2 linked regions of the Lytechinus pictus genome follow. The protein of the gene in region 2 binds, or shares a complex with, the protein of the main gene of each other region. Links are inferred from orthologs where the notes say so. Each region holds a gene or a part of one and is shown on either strand. Other genes may lie near its edges.

Evidence for each region. The genes of interacting proteins can lie anywhere in the genome.
Region 1: regulator of G-protein signaling 11-like (region 2) and regulator of G-protein signaling 9-binding protein-like share a complex: the UniProt entries of both Homo sapiens proteins name them as parts of the RGS9-1-Gbeta5 complex. The link is inferred for Lytechinus pictus from reciprocal best matches to the Homo sapiens genes RGS9 and RGS9BP.

Annotation. Positions count from the first base shown.
Region 1 is NC_087249.1:10,164,499-10,172,731, forward strand, and holds the start of regulator of G-protein signaling 9-binding protein-like, read right to left. Parts: upstream 3,452-8,233; 5' UTR 3,010-3,451; intron 1-3,009. UniProt on the Homo sapiens protein: Regulator of G protein-coupled receptor (GPCR) signaling in phototransduction. Participates in the recovery phase of visual transduction via its interaction with RGS9-1 isoform.
Region 2 is NC_087254.1:35,610,497-35,618,880, forward strand, and holds the start of regulator of G-protein signaling 11-like, read right to left. Parts: upstream 3,454-8,384; 5' UTR 3,437-3,453; coding exon 3,361-3,436; intron 2,971-3,360; coding exon 2,758-2,970; intron 1,962-2,757; coding exon 1,897-1,961; intron 1-1,896. UniProt on the Homo sapiens protein: Inhibits signal transduction by increasing the GTPase activity of G protein alpha subunits thereby driving them into their inactive GDP-bound form. Binds to GNAT1. Involved in phototransduction; key element in the recovery phase of visual transduction.

The DNA of each region.
Region 1 (8,233 bases), on a different chromosome or scaffold from region 2:
AAACACGGCTGGATTTTTGTATGAGTGAGTTTTGTGATGTTTTCTTCTTGGTTAATGATCTTTAAAATGTTTGCCACAAATAAGTGAAAGATGATTTGTTCAAATATTAAAATTGGCTTAGTTTTTATCGATTGTAAACAAAGTGCGTAGCTTAAGTGCCCCCAATCATAATGGGAGAGTTGTTCACAAGTGACATCACACATCTTTGTCGCATTGCCAATGAGAGGATCTCCATAAAACCATAGGCAGCATTAATCGCAATTATTGCGATCAACGAAAGTTTGAGAAATATTGGACAAATAATGAGGAAGTTATGAGCGTTTGTATTAAATAATGAGGAAGTTATGAGTGTTTGTATATTATTATACAAATGCTCATAACTTCCTCATTATTTGTCCAATTTTTCTCAAACTTTTGTTGATCTTTTTCTTTGATTTTTCTGTTTTCACACAAGCTATCCTGTTCCAAAGGTTTCATTCTAAAATTTAAAAAAGTAGACCCTAATATTGGGAGAAAGGAATAGAAAGGACATGAACAGAGTGTGACACTCACTAGACAGGAATAACCATTGTTTCTGGGGATTTATTTAAAGGAGAATGAAACCTTTGGAACAGGATAGCTTGTGTGAAAACAGAAAAATCAAAGTAACAAATCAACGAAAGTTTGAGAAAAATCGGACAAATAATGAGAAAGTTATGAGCATTTGAATATAGCGATCACTAATGCTATGGAGATCCTCACATTGGCAATGTGACAAAAATGTGTGATGTCACTCATGAACAACTCTCCCCATTACCTTAGTATATATTTCACTTAAACTGCCTCTTTTATCACATCTATCAATGGATCATGTGTTCTTTCTACAGGAGGGCATGTAATACAGATTTTTAAAGAATACATCATGGATAAAGAGTTTGTATCACCATTAGAAAAAGCAAAAAGATACATTTTGGGGGTATTTTATAGTCCATCATAGGGAAAGTTGTTCACATGTGACATCACACATCCTTGTCGCATTGCCAATAGGAGGATCTCCATAGCATTAGTGATTGCAATATTCAAATGCTCATAACTTTCTCATTATTTGTCCGATTTTTCTCAAACTTTCTTTGTTCTTATTCTTTGATTTTTCTGTTTCGACACAAGCCTACTTGTTCCAAAGGTTTCATTCCCCTTTAACAATTTCTGACATTTTACTATTATAATCCCCATTATGTATTGGTGAGTGGAGCCAACGCAGTTCAGCGGAACAACCAAAATACAGAGACTGAAGTAGGGAGTTTGGTGACTTTTTGAAATCTTGAAGAATCCCAACAAATGTGATACTGATATCATTGGAAAGCTTGTGAAATGAGAAAAATAATGGTGCTTCATTCAACTCATTGTCTGATATATTGACGGAGATATTCCAATTTACAGTGGAAAATATGCAGATTTTGTTCTGTCAAAAAAAAATATTAAATTGAAGGCTTGTTTGAGAGGGGGAGACAGTTGCTTTTTGAAATCTTGAAGGAATCCTAACAAATTTGGTACCATTGGAAAGCTTGTGAAATAAGAAAAAGAATGGTGCATAAATCAACTCAGGATGTCAAATATTGACAGAGATATTTCTGTTTAAACGGGAGAATGTGCAGATTTTTTTACAGCAAAAAGTAGATTTTCATAACTTACACAAGATGCAATGAATGGGACTGTGTAATACTTTTTTTTGAAGTGCAATGCACTGCTATGCGGGGCAAGGCATGCCCTTGAATTATACATCATTTTATTCATAAAACTTCAAAGTTCCTCATGGTATAGGTTTCTATAGTATAGGGTTCTTCCTCCTCCTATAATGACTTCATATTTGTTTTATATTACAGGGGCCCGTTTCTCAACACCGTCATAAGTCTAACTTCTTGACTAAATCGGAGATAGTGAGCTACTTGTCCGCTAACCGTTTCACGAAGCCCTCTTTACCAAGATCGGGTACAACAACCTCACTAAATATTTATGACACCTCCGAACCTGTCATAACTTCTTTCTTAGTGACGTAGTGGCATCACGTGGGTAGACTATGACATGCGAAAGTGCCTAGAAATTTTAAAATTATAATCTTACGTAATCAATCATAGAGGTTGAAATTACATCACAAAACAAGTGGGTTAATGCATTCAATGATAATTGTAACACAAAGAAACTATAAAAACTGTTGGTAAACGCCACAAAACCATTCATTTTGAAATAGTAAAATGATTTAATCGATCAAGATTCTACCACGTCAGGCCATCCATAACTGAACTCGTATTTGTTGTTTTCAGACCCCTATTAACAGTTGGATAAATTCTATCTCTAATTTATGCATATAATTTGTCCAATATCATATCTTTCGGTATCAATGATTAAAAATGTTTCGTTAAACTATATTTTGATGACGTTTGGAATCGTAAAAGTCCGTATAATTATCATCATTTTACAAAGAAAACTTTTATGGTTTACTTTTGTAAACTATTAAAATTGGGTCTCCCGGGGGTACCCATCTCAACGTCCGCAAGTGATTCTTTAGTCATGAAATGAATTATTCATAATTTAATTTTCTCTGCAATTGAATGCTCCAGTCTTCATGGTCTAAGTATGTATGATGCATAATTCACCTGTGCTATTATTTTGAAAAGATTTATTTCCCAATTCATCATAATATTTGCAATTTTGTCATAATTTTTCTAATTGAAAATTATGCTATTTTGTGACTAAGGCTACGTCTCGTCTGCTCTTTTTACCGATAGTATCGATATCAAGGTATTCTAGTTAAGAAGCCTTTCGAGAAACAGGTTTAGTAAGATTGGAACTAACTCCGTGGTTGGTGGATAAAGATATGACTAACTTGTCCATGTGTTGAGAAACGGGCCCCTGGCCTATAACTTTTTTTACATGGCCATGGCATGGGTGCACAGCCACAGACAGATACAAATTCTGAAAGTGGCATTTTCACCGAACTCCCTAACTGAAGCTTTTGGTCTAGACACTCACTTGCTCAACAGCTGCAGCTAGATCTCAGTTCACATGAATGATTGAAGCAAAGCCAACTTCAATTTAAAGGTGGCTCTCCCCAAATGGCAAGAAATGACGACTCGGTCAGCTAGTGTGCGCCTGGCTGGGCGGCAGCACTCATCCTACGAACGAGGTCGGTAGTTGTCAGATTCCGTTTATCAATTTCAGCATTGACTTGCATGCTCAGCGCATCAGACTTTTGCTATCAAAAACGCAGTTCTAACGTTAATTGAGTTTAACAATAAAATGATTCTGGCACCATGATTCTTAACATTCATTCAAAGGCAAGATTATTATGGTGGCATATTGCAGAAACTACAGATCCCACTTCAAGACAGTTCAACCTCAACCGCATCACTCCATACATTAGCATCTTCTCGAGATCGTCGTTTCGATATCGGGTATATCCATAGAGATGTATACATCTATGGGTATATCCCGTTGATCGTTTAATGAACCTGTACGTACCTACACAACTAACTCGTCTCGCGCGAGGATATTTATCAGCTCTAAAACAGTAAAAATTCGGAACATACTCTTCATCCTCTCGGTACCAATGAAATGTTGCCTCAAAGGAGGGGAGGCGGGAGGGGGAGGCAGGGTTCTGCCACGTGAATGCAAGGGCACCCCCACACACACAAATATATATATATATATATCAGGGGCGTCGATCCATTTTTCAGATTGGGGGGGCGAAATCATTAACGTTCCAAAGGCGCTCGATCGTACAAAACACCCACCCACACACACACACACACACATACATATATATATATTTTTTTTTTTTCAATATGTTTTTATTAAGGATTTCATTCAAATGAATTACATAAACGGCAGATAAATACAAAACAAAATACAAATCTTCATTTCATATCAACAAGGATATGCAAAAAAGTACATATATATTTACCAAGAACTGAAGCAAATAAGGACGGAATGAAACTCCTTAAAATTATACTTTTATATCTGAAAAAAAAATAACTCAACTGAGTCCCCAACCCTCTATGTATTTCAATAATAATTAATGTTAAATGGCTATATAAATGATTTGCAGAGAACAGAAATCAACCTAAATGTATTATCATTGCATCCCATTTTAAATCAAGCTTCAACATAACTTTACATAATTATACACACATACACACACCCACCTTAACACCTATACACACATGCACATACCACGCATACGTAAACAAACATAATATATACAAATCTGCATAATGAACGTTTAACATTTTGGCGCAATAGGATACAGAAAGAAAAAAAAACCTGCAAATCATATTGATACAAGAGAAGGGGAAATTGAAAAGAACTAGTAAAAAGAAAAAAAAAACATCAACATACACACCAGGATTCACACTCGCACCACACTAGACACATCCCACCTGTTCACATTCAAATCCCTTTTCACCTTCAGTTCATCCCATTTCTGCAAATGTAAACTTAACTTGCCTGACTTCGTTGCCAGGCGTCTTTCTTCTTCTATACAACCCGTTATATATTTGTGTATTTTAATAAATGACGGTACCCGGCCTTCAGCTCTGGAATTAAAAATTGCATATTTAATAAAAAGAATAACAGAATTGACACATTTAATTCTACAAGAATTTCCAGGTAACCCTAAGAATATTTCCCTCCAATTCAAAGTTCTTAATTCAGCTAAACAAAAATGATCAATACAAAATTGCCAAAGAGGTTTAACTTTTATGCAATCCATGAGTATATGAAAGTACGATTCAGTTTTTGTACAACCAAACGAACAATAATTATCTCCCACGAAACCAAATCTCATCAAATGCTCTTTTGTATATATTGCTCCATGTAAAAGCATAAACTGAAATTCCCTTTGTTTTCTTATAAGAGTTGTACTCCTGATATATTCAAATAATTTACAAATTTCTACATCAGTAAAATCAAAATCACTGTGACCATCCTTAAGTGTTAACTTGTATAGCTCTTGTAGCTTAGTAATAAACAAGTTATAAATTGTTTTTGATTTAATTACTTCAAAAGCTGTTTCCTGTTTTCCAATATTCATACTTATCCCAAAGTCTACCAAATCAATTTTTTTAAACTTTATTAAACTATTAAAATTTTTCCAGCTTGCTGGTATAACGTGCACAATATCTATTATTTGGAGAAGTTGATTTGCGGTAATACCGAGATTTTGAAAAAAAGTCACAGGCTTCAAGTGGCCATTATCAAAGATTTGATCAACGCTAAATATTCCTTTATTAAAAAGATCATTGTCAAAAATTGTCAAAAATCATTGTCAAAAATTGTATATATAATATATATATATATTATATATACACACACACACACACACATATATATATATATATATATATATATATATATGTATGACTCATGAGACACAGACACGTATCTCACTACACAGATAGTACGAGTGCCGAGAGTGAGCTCAAATTTCTTTATATTCTGAGCTGAAAACTTGATATTCTAAGCATTTTTGGTACCAATGATTAAGATTTGTATCTAAAAGAGAATAGATGCGAGCGCGAAGCGCGAGCTGAAAATTTTGATATTTCGATCTGAAAAAATGACAGTTTACTGGACGTTTTTGATAAAGAACAAGCTATATATCCAAGAAAAGATGATTGCAAATTGAAGCAGTTCTTTTGAGGCTTAGAACTGAAAATGGGACATTTACATTCACCAATTTAATCATGAAAAGTATGGGTTTTTGCTACAGAAATGATGCGAGCGCGAAGCGCGAGCTGAAAATTTTTATATTCCAATCTGAAAAGCGGACATTTTGAGCACGATTTTAAATAAAGAACGAGTTGTGTATCTCAATCTCGCTTGCTGAACATTACAATCTTGTTTTTTTTTAATGCATATCCGGAATTATTGGGGGGGGGGCAAAATGATATGTTTGCCCCCCCAATATTTGTATTGGTGGGGCGATCGCCCCCCCTGCCCCCCCCCCCCCCCCCCAGGATCGACGCCTCTGATAATGAGAATATGGGATGAGGCGAGGCCCGGGGCGAGGCCCGGGCGAGGCCAACTCAACAGATGACGCAGGACACCATTATTAGTTGGCCTCGCCTCATCTCATGTTTAATATTCACAACTCAACAGCGATTGGTAGAAGTAAACTTATCATCACACTATATATATATATATATATATATATATATATATATATACCGTATATACAGTATATATATATAAATATATATAAATGTGTAAAGTTATACATTTACAACCTCTTTGGCAACTCTTTTATTTGAATATTGTAAAGAAATGGATGAAGAGAACAATGGTAAGCGTAGCTTAAATCAAGGTTCCCCAGAGCTATCTAACCTTTGGAAAAATTGGTGATGCCGAAAAAATGTCCCTGCCGGGAATCGAACCCGGGCCCCTAGCTTTGAACGCCGGTGCCTTAACCACAAGACCACAGAGACGGGTTAGTGGCTAGGGCGACCCCGATCCGATTGACCGTCAGATAGACAGATTTTTGACACTATACCAATTATAATTTCCTTTGTCGTGTGAAGGTGGCTTTCGAACAATGACAAGCCGCCATGCTTGTCTCTGTGGTCTAGTGGTTAAGGCACCGGCGTTCAAAGCTGGGGGCCCGGGTTCGATTCCCGGCAGGGACATTTTTTCGGCATCACCAAATTTTCCCAAAGGGTAGATAGCTCTGGGGAACCTTGATTTAAGCTACGCCTACCATTGTTCTCTTCATCCATTTCTTTACAATATTCAAATAAAAGAGTTGCCAAAGCTGTTGTCCATGTATAACTTTAAACATTTATATATATATATATATTTATATATATATATATATATATATATATATATATATATATATATAGTGTGATGATAAGTTTACTTCTACTAATCGCTGTTGAGTTGTGAATATTAAACATGAGATGAGGCGAGGCCAACCAATGATGGTGTCCTGCGTCATCTGTTGAGTGATCACGAATTTCCTTGTTGACCATAATAGATTGCGAGACAAATGAATACCCTCTAGCGATTATTTCATTCCGCAATAATGAACCTATTTAGTACTATGAATATTTTTTTTCACATTTTACACTTCTATTTAATTCATTTTATTTTTTCAAGTCTTATTTTAGATAATGAACTATATGCATGCTGCCCTTTTCCACACCAATTTGTTGTACTCTCTTTTTGCTGAGGCAATTCATGTGCCCGCTCTCCTGCACACTTCTCCCTCTCTCGATCCACTCCCTTGCCTTTCTTCTTCATGCCCTTTTCCTAGCCCTACTTCATTTCCTGTTTTGTATTTGTATTGTAGGCTATTTGTGGTACAGGCGTATATATCCCATGCACCACAAGTTTAGCGTTTAGGGAATGGCGCCGTCTTCTGTTAACAGATCTGTTAACAGATCTTTTTTAAGTATATCTACGCTATTTTAATTTTGTATGGATTATATTGAAAAATGTGATATTTTGTGAAGATGGAAGAAAATTAATGTTTTTTTTTTATTGAATTCAATAATTATTTTCAGCCCGGACTAGCCTATATATACCCCTTTCAATAACAGCATCCGCGGCCTTGAGTGGACCGAGTGTGAAAACCAGCCAGCAATATCCATACTTTTTTTTACTTCAAAACGGATATCAGTGGCGTAGGCCCTACAGATGGGGGAGGTTCTTGGCCCCCCCCCCCCCCACAAAAAAATCACGACCAAGAAAACAAAGCAGAGAAAAGGAACTTGGAGAAGCAAAGAGAGAAGGGTGAAATATTGATATAATTTTCTAAATGTTACGTCAAATTCTATATCACAATTTTGAATTTTTGCAATAAAATTGTCGAAATTTTTGCTCGCTCGCTTTGCTCGGAACTTTTTATAACTTTTGCCCAATACGTCAGCATACATTTCCCCCTCAATTTTTTTTTTTGGGCTCATTACGCTACTGACGACATAGACAAGTTTGAGCTATTCGTTCAAAATCTGTAATTGAGAAAAGAGTGATTTCGATATAGGGCAATTAAGGTTAAAGACTATAATGCAGACAACCCTTTTCTGCAATTGGAACTACACAAGGCAATATTACAAAAGTTTAAGTAAGGTAACATGATAGAATTCATCATTATGAATCTTGGTAAAAATCGAAATTATTTCATACTCCCAACTCATTTGAAAACTTGCAGGTAATGCCAACAAGTGTGCTCATGTCATATTTTTGGTTTATTGTTATC
Region 2 (8,384 bases):
TCACTTTGTTCTTTATTTTCCTTTTATTACATATTTTTAATGACTCCTTTGTTACTACAAATTTGAAAGAAATATTGCAGTGTTTATTTTCATCAGCTTTAAATCAGTTTGTTCTTTATTTCGTTTTTTGTTATTCTGAATTTGCTTTTTTTTAAACCAAATTTAAAAGAAATATTTCAGTGTGTATTTTCATCAACTTTAAATCTGTTTGTACTTTATTTATTTCTTGAATGGCTTTTTTTTTGCTATATGCTCAAAAGAAGTATGTCTTCCAGGTGGCAGTAACTGAATGAATTATACCAACTCTTAAATTAATCACCAAACAACCAAAGATAGACTTTCTTGATTTCAACAGTTGCATTATGGTGTATTCACAAACAGATAACTGAACACACATTTGCAGGTACGCCTGTATTGTTTAAGGAATTCTTTTTTTTTTAAATAAACATTAATTTTCTGTCATTTTTTAAACACAAAAAAATTATACCAAAAAACATATAGGCCCTAAAGAAACAAATAAAACAGTTGTTTTACAAAATAAATATAGGGTTGAGTCAATACGCCTAAGTTCACATTTACTCCTCTCAATATGTATGATTTTGGAGAGTACGTGTGGGTGTGCGAGGATGTGTGGGAGGTTGTGCGAGGTTCTGAGTGTGTTTGTATGTTTTTACATGTATAGTGCTTCTATCAAGAGGGACACACAAGAATCAAACACACACACACACACACCAGCCACCCTGATTCAATAGTCACAACGACGGAACATAACCCAGACCAACCAACCAAACCAATTTCCAATGACCGTCGGTCGGTTCGAAGTCGGTTTCACTGGCGAGTTGTCGGATGTGACAACTCTCCTTGGTTTTGATTGGCTGAGAATCACTGTTGCTATGGTAACCGTCAACTAAAATGGAAGTTGTCGGATAAAACGTCCCACAAATCCTTTCATGAAACGCTTCCCAGATTTTACAATCAAACAATAAACAGAAATTCAATTTCAGTTTCAATTCCAATTCAGGAGTCAGGACACCGAGAAAGGGAAGGAGAGAGAAAAGAAAGAAGAGACAGAGAGAGAAAGGGAGATGATTTGTGGCTCAGGTGGGTGGTGAAATGAGTTGCTCTGATCAGAACAGATGGGGTTATTCTTGGTCGCCATGGTAACAGAGTGGAATGAGGATATGCTTTGAGCTGTCCAGGAATTAATTTAATCATCTATAAAATTAATTTGAAGTGCAACAGCCTTCACCAAGCTCCAGACAAATCACACGCAGCGTTGTATACTGCTTTCTCGCATGGAAGCCATAATCGCTTTGAATATTACCAATGTCAATGACCTTTTTTATAAGCCGACGACTAACGTTTTGAAAATCAAATGAATACTGCCATCAAGGAAAATTGAATATGAATAAGATCTCAAAACAAAGAAAACAAAAAGTGAAATGAAAGTATATTCATTTCCAATTTGCTTTGGGATATGATTACTTTCCATAATCAATACCGTTTTCTTGTGCTATCAGTGGTCAGGTACGAGAAAATACATTTTTTTAAATGCAGACCTATAGCACATTCTGTTGCTTTTACAAGCCACGCATTTCAATAAGATAAGATAATTCAGTATGCAAATTTAACCCAAGTTCCAACTTTTTTGCTCTTCATCACTCTCTGCTTGTTATGCTTCCAGTCCCATATATCTCTCTATTACATTTTAGCCAATGTTCATTATCAATTTCTGACAGTTTTACCCCTGGGTGTTTTCCCCTAGTAAATTTTGGTTATTGATCCTTCTAAAATATCGTTTACAAGATTTTGGTTTACACCACATGCACACATAAAAGTATGAAAGAAACAATTTTATTAAGGAAAGTAAGACTTTGCGTGGATTAGTAAACTTACATTTTCATATTCCTCTAATCCAAAGTTCTGCTTGTTCCTCATTGTTCGTTTAGCCAGGTAAAGAGCTGTACAGGGAAAGAAAATACGAATGAGTTTATTATTCAAATCTAAATGTTAATATGACCCTAAGAAAATTTTGTGAAATTATGAAAATAATTCATATTCCTCTCCTTGTTACACTGCGATAAATGTAATCAATTATAATTACACTTGTTTCCCTCTTCATTACCTGGAACTTCCTACCCCCCCCCCAACCATTTGCCCCTCTCCCTCCCTTCCCTCCCCCATTGCTTCTCTCTCCCATTGCTTCCCTTCCCTTGTTTTCCATGCATGAGAGTTTCATTCCTATTGACTTGTTTGCATGACCAACTAAATTATGATTTATGTAAATGTGTACATGGGGCATCGGGTATTGATTGAAGGTGGGACAGACGACATCACAGTCACACACAAATGTATATTTTCCCACAATTTTTATAATTTTAATCACCTTAATGAACTTAAATAAATTAATAAGGGTCTAGATTTAAAAAAAAAATCATTATGTTTGTTGTTTGTTGGAAATTAATGGCGACCAGTCATATTTGACTATTACCGCCAACTCGTTTGGTCAACTATTATTTTCTTTCTTTTCTTTTCAATTAGCTTTGAATTCTAATATAATGCATTACTTACAAAGTGTGGTGAGGCCTGACTAGCACTTTGGCTACTTTTTGTTTTTCAATTTACTATGTATATAATTTTTCTTATCTGTAACTTTTCTGTGATTTGTTTCATTAAAACCTGTAAATATACAAATGGTATTATAAATGAATAAGTGAAATGAAATGAAAAAAAAATGTTTGCCAACAATCGGCTTACCATAATCAGTATTGTCGTGCGATCGATCCTGTGATGTCCAGAAGTAGGGACTTTGGAATCGATAGAGTGTATTGTCTTCTTTGATTGACACTGTCTTTGTAGGTTCAACGGGATAAATATAACCATACTGAGATAGCAGAGTGGCAAGATGGGTCGCTTCCGTCGTACTGTGAACATCTAATAATTTAGTGATCCATTCTATTAAATCGATACCTGAAGGGAGGATCATTTCAAAATTTGTTATTATAAATACATATCAGTTGATAGCAAGAGAATCATACTTTTCTTCTTTTTTACAGTAATTTGTAATGCCGATTTACAATTTTACAAAGAGAACAATAACTTTTAGGGTATCGTTTGGCACTTCATACACCACCAATTTTTCGTGAAGTTACTCGTAATTTTAAAAACATTTTTTTCAGAAAGAACTTCTAGGTAATCATTTGGTACATTATCACTCACCAGTCATTTGCAACTTTACACAAAGTTTTTAAGCCAGTAACTTGTAAAATATTGTTTAGTTACTTTAGCACTCTATACACTAATCGTTAGTGAAGTCATTCGGTACTTTGTACAAATTGTTTCGTGAAACCAGGTACTCACCCGTGAAGGCACATGGAACTGAGGTAAGAAAGACCTTCTGTGGACGAGTTGGGATACCATGATCAGCATGCTGCATACCACGTATTATCTTCTCAATCTATTGTGACGTCAGAAGATGGACATCCGTCACGGTTAGATAAACATGCAAGGAAACATAGCATTTTCAAGAATTATTCATGTATCTTGTATGTTGTATTCTGTGTGATCAAAACGTCATAAATCGAGAAATATATCCTCGAGGAATCTAAGAAAATTAATAATCAACAAATCTCCAATGTAAAGTTAAACTATAATTGAGCAAAAAACTAGTATTAGGCCTACTATAAAAACATAATAACTAATTTCTGTACTTTTCATGAGAATATTGATTTGAATTAAGGCCAACCTTTGAAAAACGGATTTCACGTTTTAGCTGTGTACATTTTCAATAACAAAAAAGAATTTCCATTTGAAACGGAATAACATGTTTTCAGAAACGGAAAGACATTTTTTCAACAGAAAATCACTGCCCATACTCCTAATACAGATTAGTTTTTATCATAGCAATTCGTGATACATGTAGTTTACTTTACTTTCGACCATTATGATTACGAACTTTTTGCTTGGCACTATTTCACCTTTCCAGCTATAGCTTATCAAACTTCATTACGATCCAAATAAACCAGGATTTGCTTGGTTTCTCTTGTTGTTTCACACCGAGCAGAAGAATGTATTAGACCAGACCTATACACTACAAAGTAAAGCATGAATAATCTGTTCAAAATTTGAATTCATTAACCTATAAGTCCTTCGTTTGTTTGATTCTTGTGATATCAATTAGTGTTTTCTGCTTTTAAGGAGATGGATGGTAGTGTCAGATTTTCTGTATATATATTTATATATATTATATATATAAATATATATATTTAAGTTTTTCAAATCATCAAAAATCACAATATTTACAAAGGATGTACATGAATTTCGTTAGTAGCCGTTGTGTTTTTATATTATCTTTTGTTAGTAGCGTGGGAAATCCCTTAGTAATGAAGGAAACTCACTGTAACTCATTAACCACCCCCCCCCCCAAAAAAAAATATAGAAAATAAGGGGGAAATATTGTATGAGTATTTTCTACATGGTGAGAAACAAAGGTACCTCTATTGCATGGAACCTTAAATCATTTTATTGGTATATAATAACCGATCAGTCAGCTAAAAGATCGTGTTTACAACATGCAGACAATAATGATATTAATCAAAGAAGAATTATAGATTGAATGTGCTGAAATGGTAATATAAACGTTCATTCACCTATCTATTCATTTCGTCATTCATTTCGTCGTTATAACCCCATTTATGAAAGGTTTTCAAGGTAATTTATACATGTAAATACAACGAGAAAGTATTTTTTAATCAAACGACTGAAAACATTTAAATTCCGACTGATTGTGAATAATAATTGTTGTCGAATACTATGGGAATTTTGACTTGTGAAATCTACATATCATTTAACAATGAATATGCAAACATGGGGAATTTAATTTTCATACAATGTTGTTTACTATATTATGAACCTTATACAAACAACTAGTTTCTTGAATAGTTTAAACAAGTGTATAAAATCTTTTAAAGGTTTAATTTTGATACGTAATTCTCAATAAATTAAGCATGATTGTTTAATAGACTGCAAGTTTCATGTGAGCAGCGTTGTATGAAATTATAAACAGCGCTCTTTGGGCTGTGTATTATGATAATATCAAATATAAACTTCTCATATTAACATTCAAATGTATTCATGGTATTGCCCCTGCTTATCTTCAAGAACTTGTCCAAATTCATAAACCCAAGCGTAATCTCCGTTCTGGCTCACAAAATCTTCTCTCTGCAATTACTGTCAAGACCAAATCATATGGGGATCGGGCTTTCCAAAAAGCTGCACCAGCACAATGGAATTCTTTACCACCGACATTAAGAAATATTACCCAGCTTGAGAAATTCAAAGTACAATTAAAAACCCACCTATTTCAGAATGTTTAATTTAGTCACATGTAGGTCCAATCCATGTTTAATATTCTTTGAGCTTATGTATAATTATTTGATGTCTAACTTTTAAATTTACAATTCTCACCACATTTCTCGCTTTCCTCGCGCATAGAGACCTGGGGCCCGTTTCATAAAGGACTTGCAACTGTTGTAACTTTGCAGTTATGGCAACTACCATGGAAACATTGATTCTGATTGGCTGCTGAGCCCTGTTACCATGGTAGTTGCCATTATGGCAAAGTTACAACAGTTGCAAGTTCCTTTATGAAACGGGCCCCAGTAGGTGTTATGCGTATTTAAGAACTGTACTATTATTTATTATTATTATTATTATAATTATCATCATAATATAATTTGTATTGCTGTTATCCATTAAATGCCAGCACGTTCTTGGGTAGTAGGAACTATAGGCCTCAAATTATATATTTGTATCCTTAAGTTAATAACAGCACAATATGGTAAGTGAGTGTACTCTGCAGTATTCATGCATGCATTTCATATGAGCAAAGACATCCATCATTGATACTTGCTTAGATTTGATTACAGTGTGTTGATTTGATAGTGGTTTGAATGGGTGTATAATCCCATTACACACTCAGTAACAAAGTAATGAGAGGAAACGTATGAAATTGAACGAGCAATTTAATAATCGAATCAAATGCATGCGCGGGAGCGCGTGTGACAGTGCTAATTTCAAGTAGCGACCAAGCAAACCCTTATTAGCAATTTCACCAATTTAATTTTAAATTTATACAAAAAAAAAACAGTGCCATCAAATTAATTGAAAATTGAATTCCATGAAAACACTTACATATTACGTTACCTCGCAATGCAATGTGTTTTATAACACATTTTGGCCAAGAGTGTATCTGTTTATCTTCTAATGGAGGTAGAAACACATGTTGGGTTGGTAGGTATTTGTTATTTTTAAAGGTATGACACTAAAGAGCTCAAGGTTGTTCAGAAATATATGTCTTCTGCTCATAATGGTAAATATTCCATTTTAATTTGTCTAATTTTTATCAACTTTATTTGTAAAAAAAAGAGTGTAGAATTTTAAAAAATGAATGAATAAATGAATAAACTAGCATGAATAATATGAGTAATTTGCGTCTTTTCATAGCAAGTTTCCTGCATTCTACACTGTTCATTCCCCGATGTTTTATCTCTTCTAGATGATGATTTATAAACAAAATAGTGATGAAAGGCCATTAGCGAGATGTCAAAAAATGACGTCGCTTCGAGTAACAATTAGTAATAATGATAATAATAATAACAACAATAATGTTAGTAATAACAATAATTTAAAAAGAGCTTCACAATTAAAATAGTTTTAAATGTAGGCCCTACAAAAAAACAAAAATGAACTTTAATTTATATAACAAAAAAATGAAAGATCAAAGTCACTGTAATAAGAGATATGTTGAATTTGCCTTTTTGTCTTTAATATTGAGCTGAACAATGAAGGCCGTCTTGCCGCTCCCCCTCCCCCCCCCCCCCATTTCTTATCAATATAAGGCCTATATCGTTTTATTGATGAGTTTGTTCTGACTGATGTTTCCTTTTCTGTTTTATTGACAGTAGGGAGGCCTATATCTTCCACATGTTAAAAGTATAGAGATACCCTTGCTTTTTGCCTTTATTTTCAAAATCAAAATCAATAAACGTAAAACAAATTTGGAAAGACGGTAACAAGAAGAACGCATGTCGATACACGGAAATTAAACGTGACCATTTTTAACACGCTAACTGATACAGTATCAGCTCCGATATTCTTCCCTTTTACTGATGTTGGTGATGCAAGAACTGTTTCAATTGCAATTGTAGATGCGATTTGCAGGGGCTGCGAACCGGGGAGCAGGGGGTATTCCCCCACCCCCCCCCCCCAAAAAAAAAAAAAAAAAAAATCCTCGGAGGAAAAATGCCCCTTTTCAAACTAAAATACCTTTTTGAAAGAAAATGTTATATATTTTAGGTCAGAAAAATAAATTTTCTTGCTCGCGCTTCGCGCTTGTATGAGTTATTGTTTAGTAAGGTACTCATCCTGTTTATGGTTTTAAAAAAATGCTTAGAATGTCCAGGGATGGTATTCTGAAAGCGTTCCTATCTAATATATGCTCTTATCTACGTTACGATCTGAAATTGGTATTCTGAAAACGTTCTTATCTTTTCTTGCTTTACTACCTATGCTGAGCGCGTAAATTTATAATTTGCGAATAAGCGCGCTAAAGATGGCGTTAAAAAGATTGTCAGAATAACGATTTTCAATGATTTTAGCGTCTTCTTATTTCAATGAGATACGATAAAAGACAAGAACAGAGATAAGAACGTTATCAAAATACCACCCTGATTATTTAGTGTGACCGTTGCATTGCAGTCAGCGAATCTTTATATGTATACTGATCATCATTCTACTAATAGAGAGTTTAAGCATTTTGCTCTCTAATGGTGGACGACTCATTACTACTCTGGCTCCTCGGGTTGAAGTAGTTGTGGTAATTTACAAATGGATACGGTACTCGCTCGTATGCATGCATGGTGCCATGGCAACGCCATAAATTTTCGAAGTAATTATACAAGCCCTCCGTGCTCCAAGTTAAACGACACACTTGAAATGGATCAAGGCATATTTCCCCGATATCTTCCTGCTTCCCTTTACGGGAATATAATTCTCATTTAACGTGTGTGCACTCGATCCCACGATTGAAATTTGGAATTCAATGGCAAAGATATTTTGAGAAGTTATCATTATTTCCTAAATTCGTAACATAAATAATTGATCAGTATTCGACTCATACATTATTTGTTAATATACTAATTTTAGTTATATACCACATGGTTCTTTTTTTATACATTGAATCCATTTTACAACATTTTTCTACATAATATACCTCCCACTATATCAGTTCTGTTTAATCAGGGGCGACACAAAAGTATTCGAATGGGGGGGGGTGTGCAGACGACATCGAAATTACGTCATTTAATTGAAATGAGTATTGTATA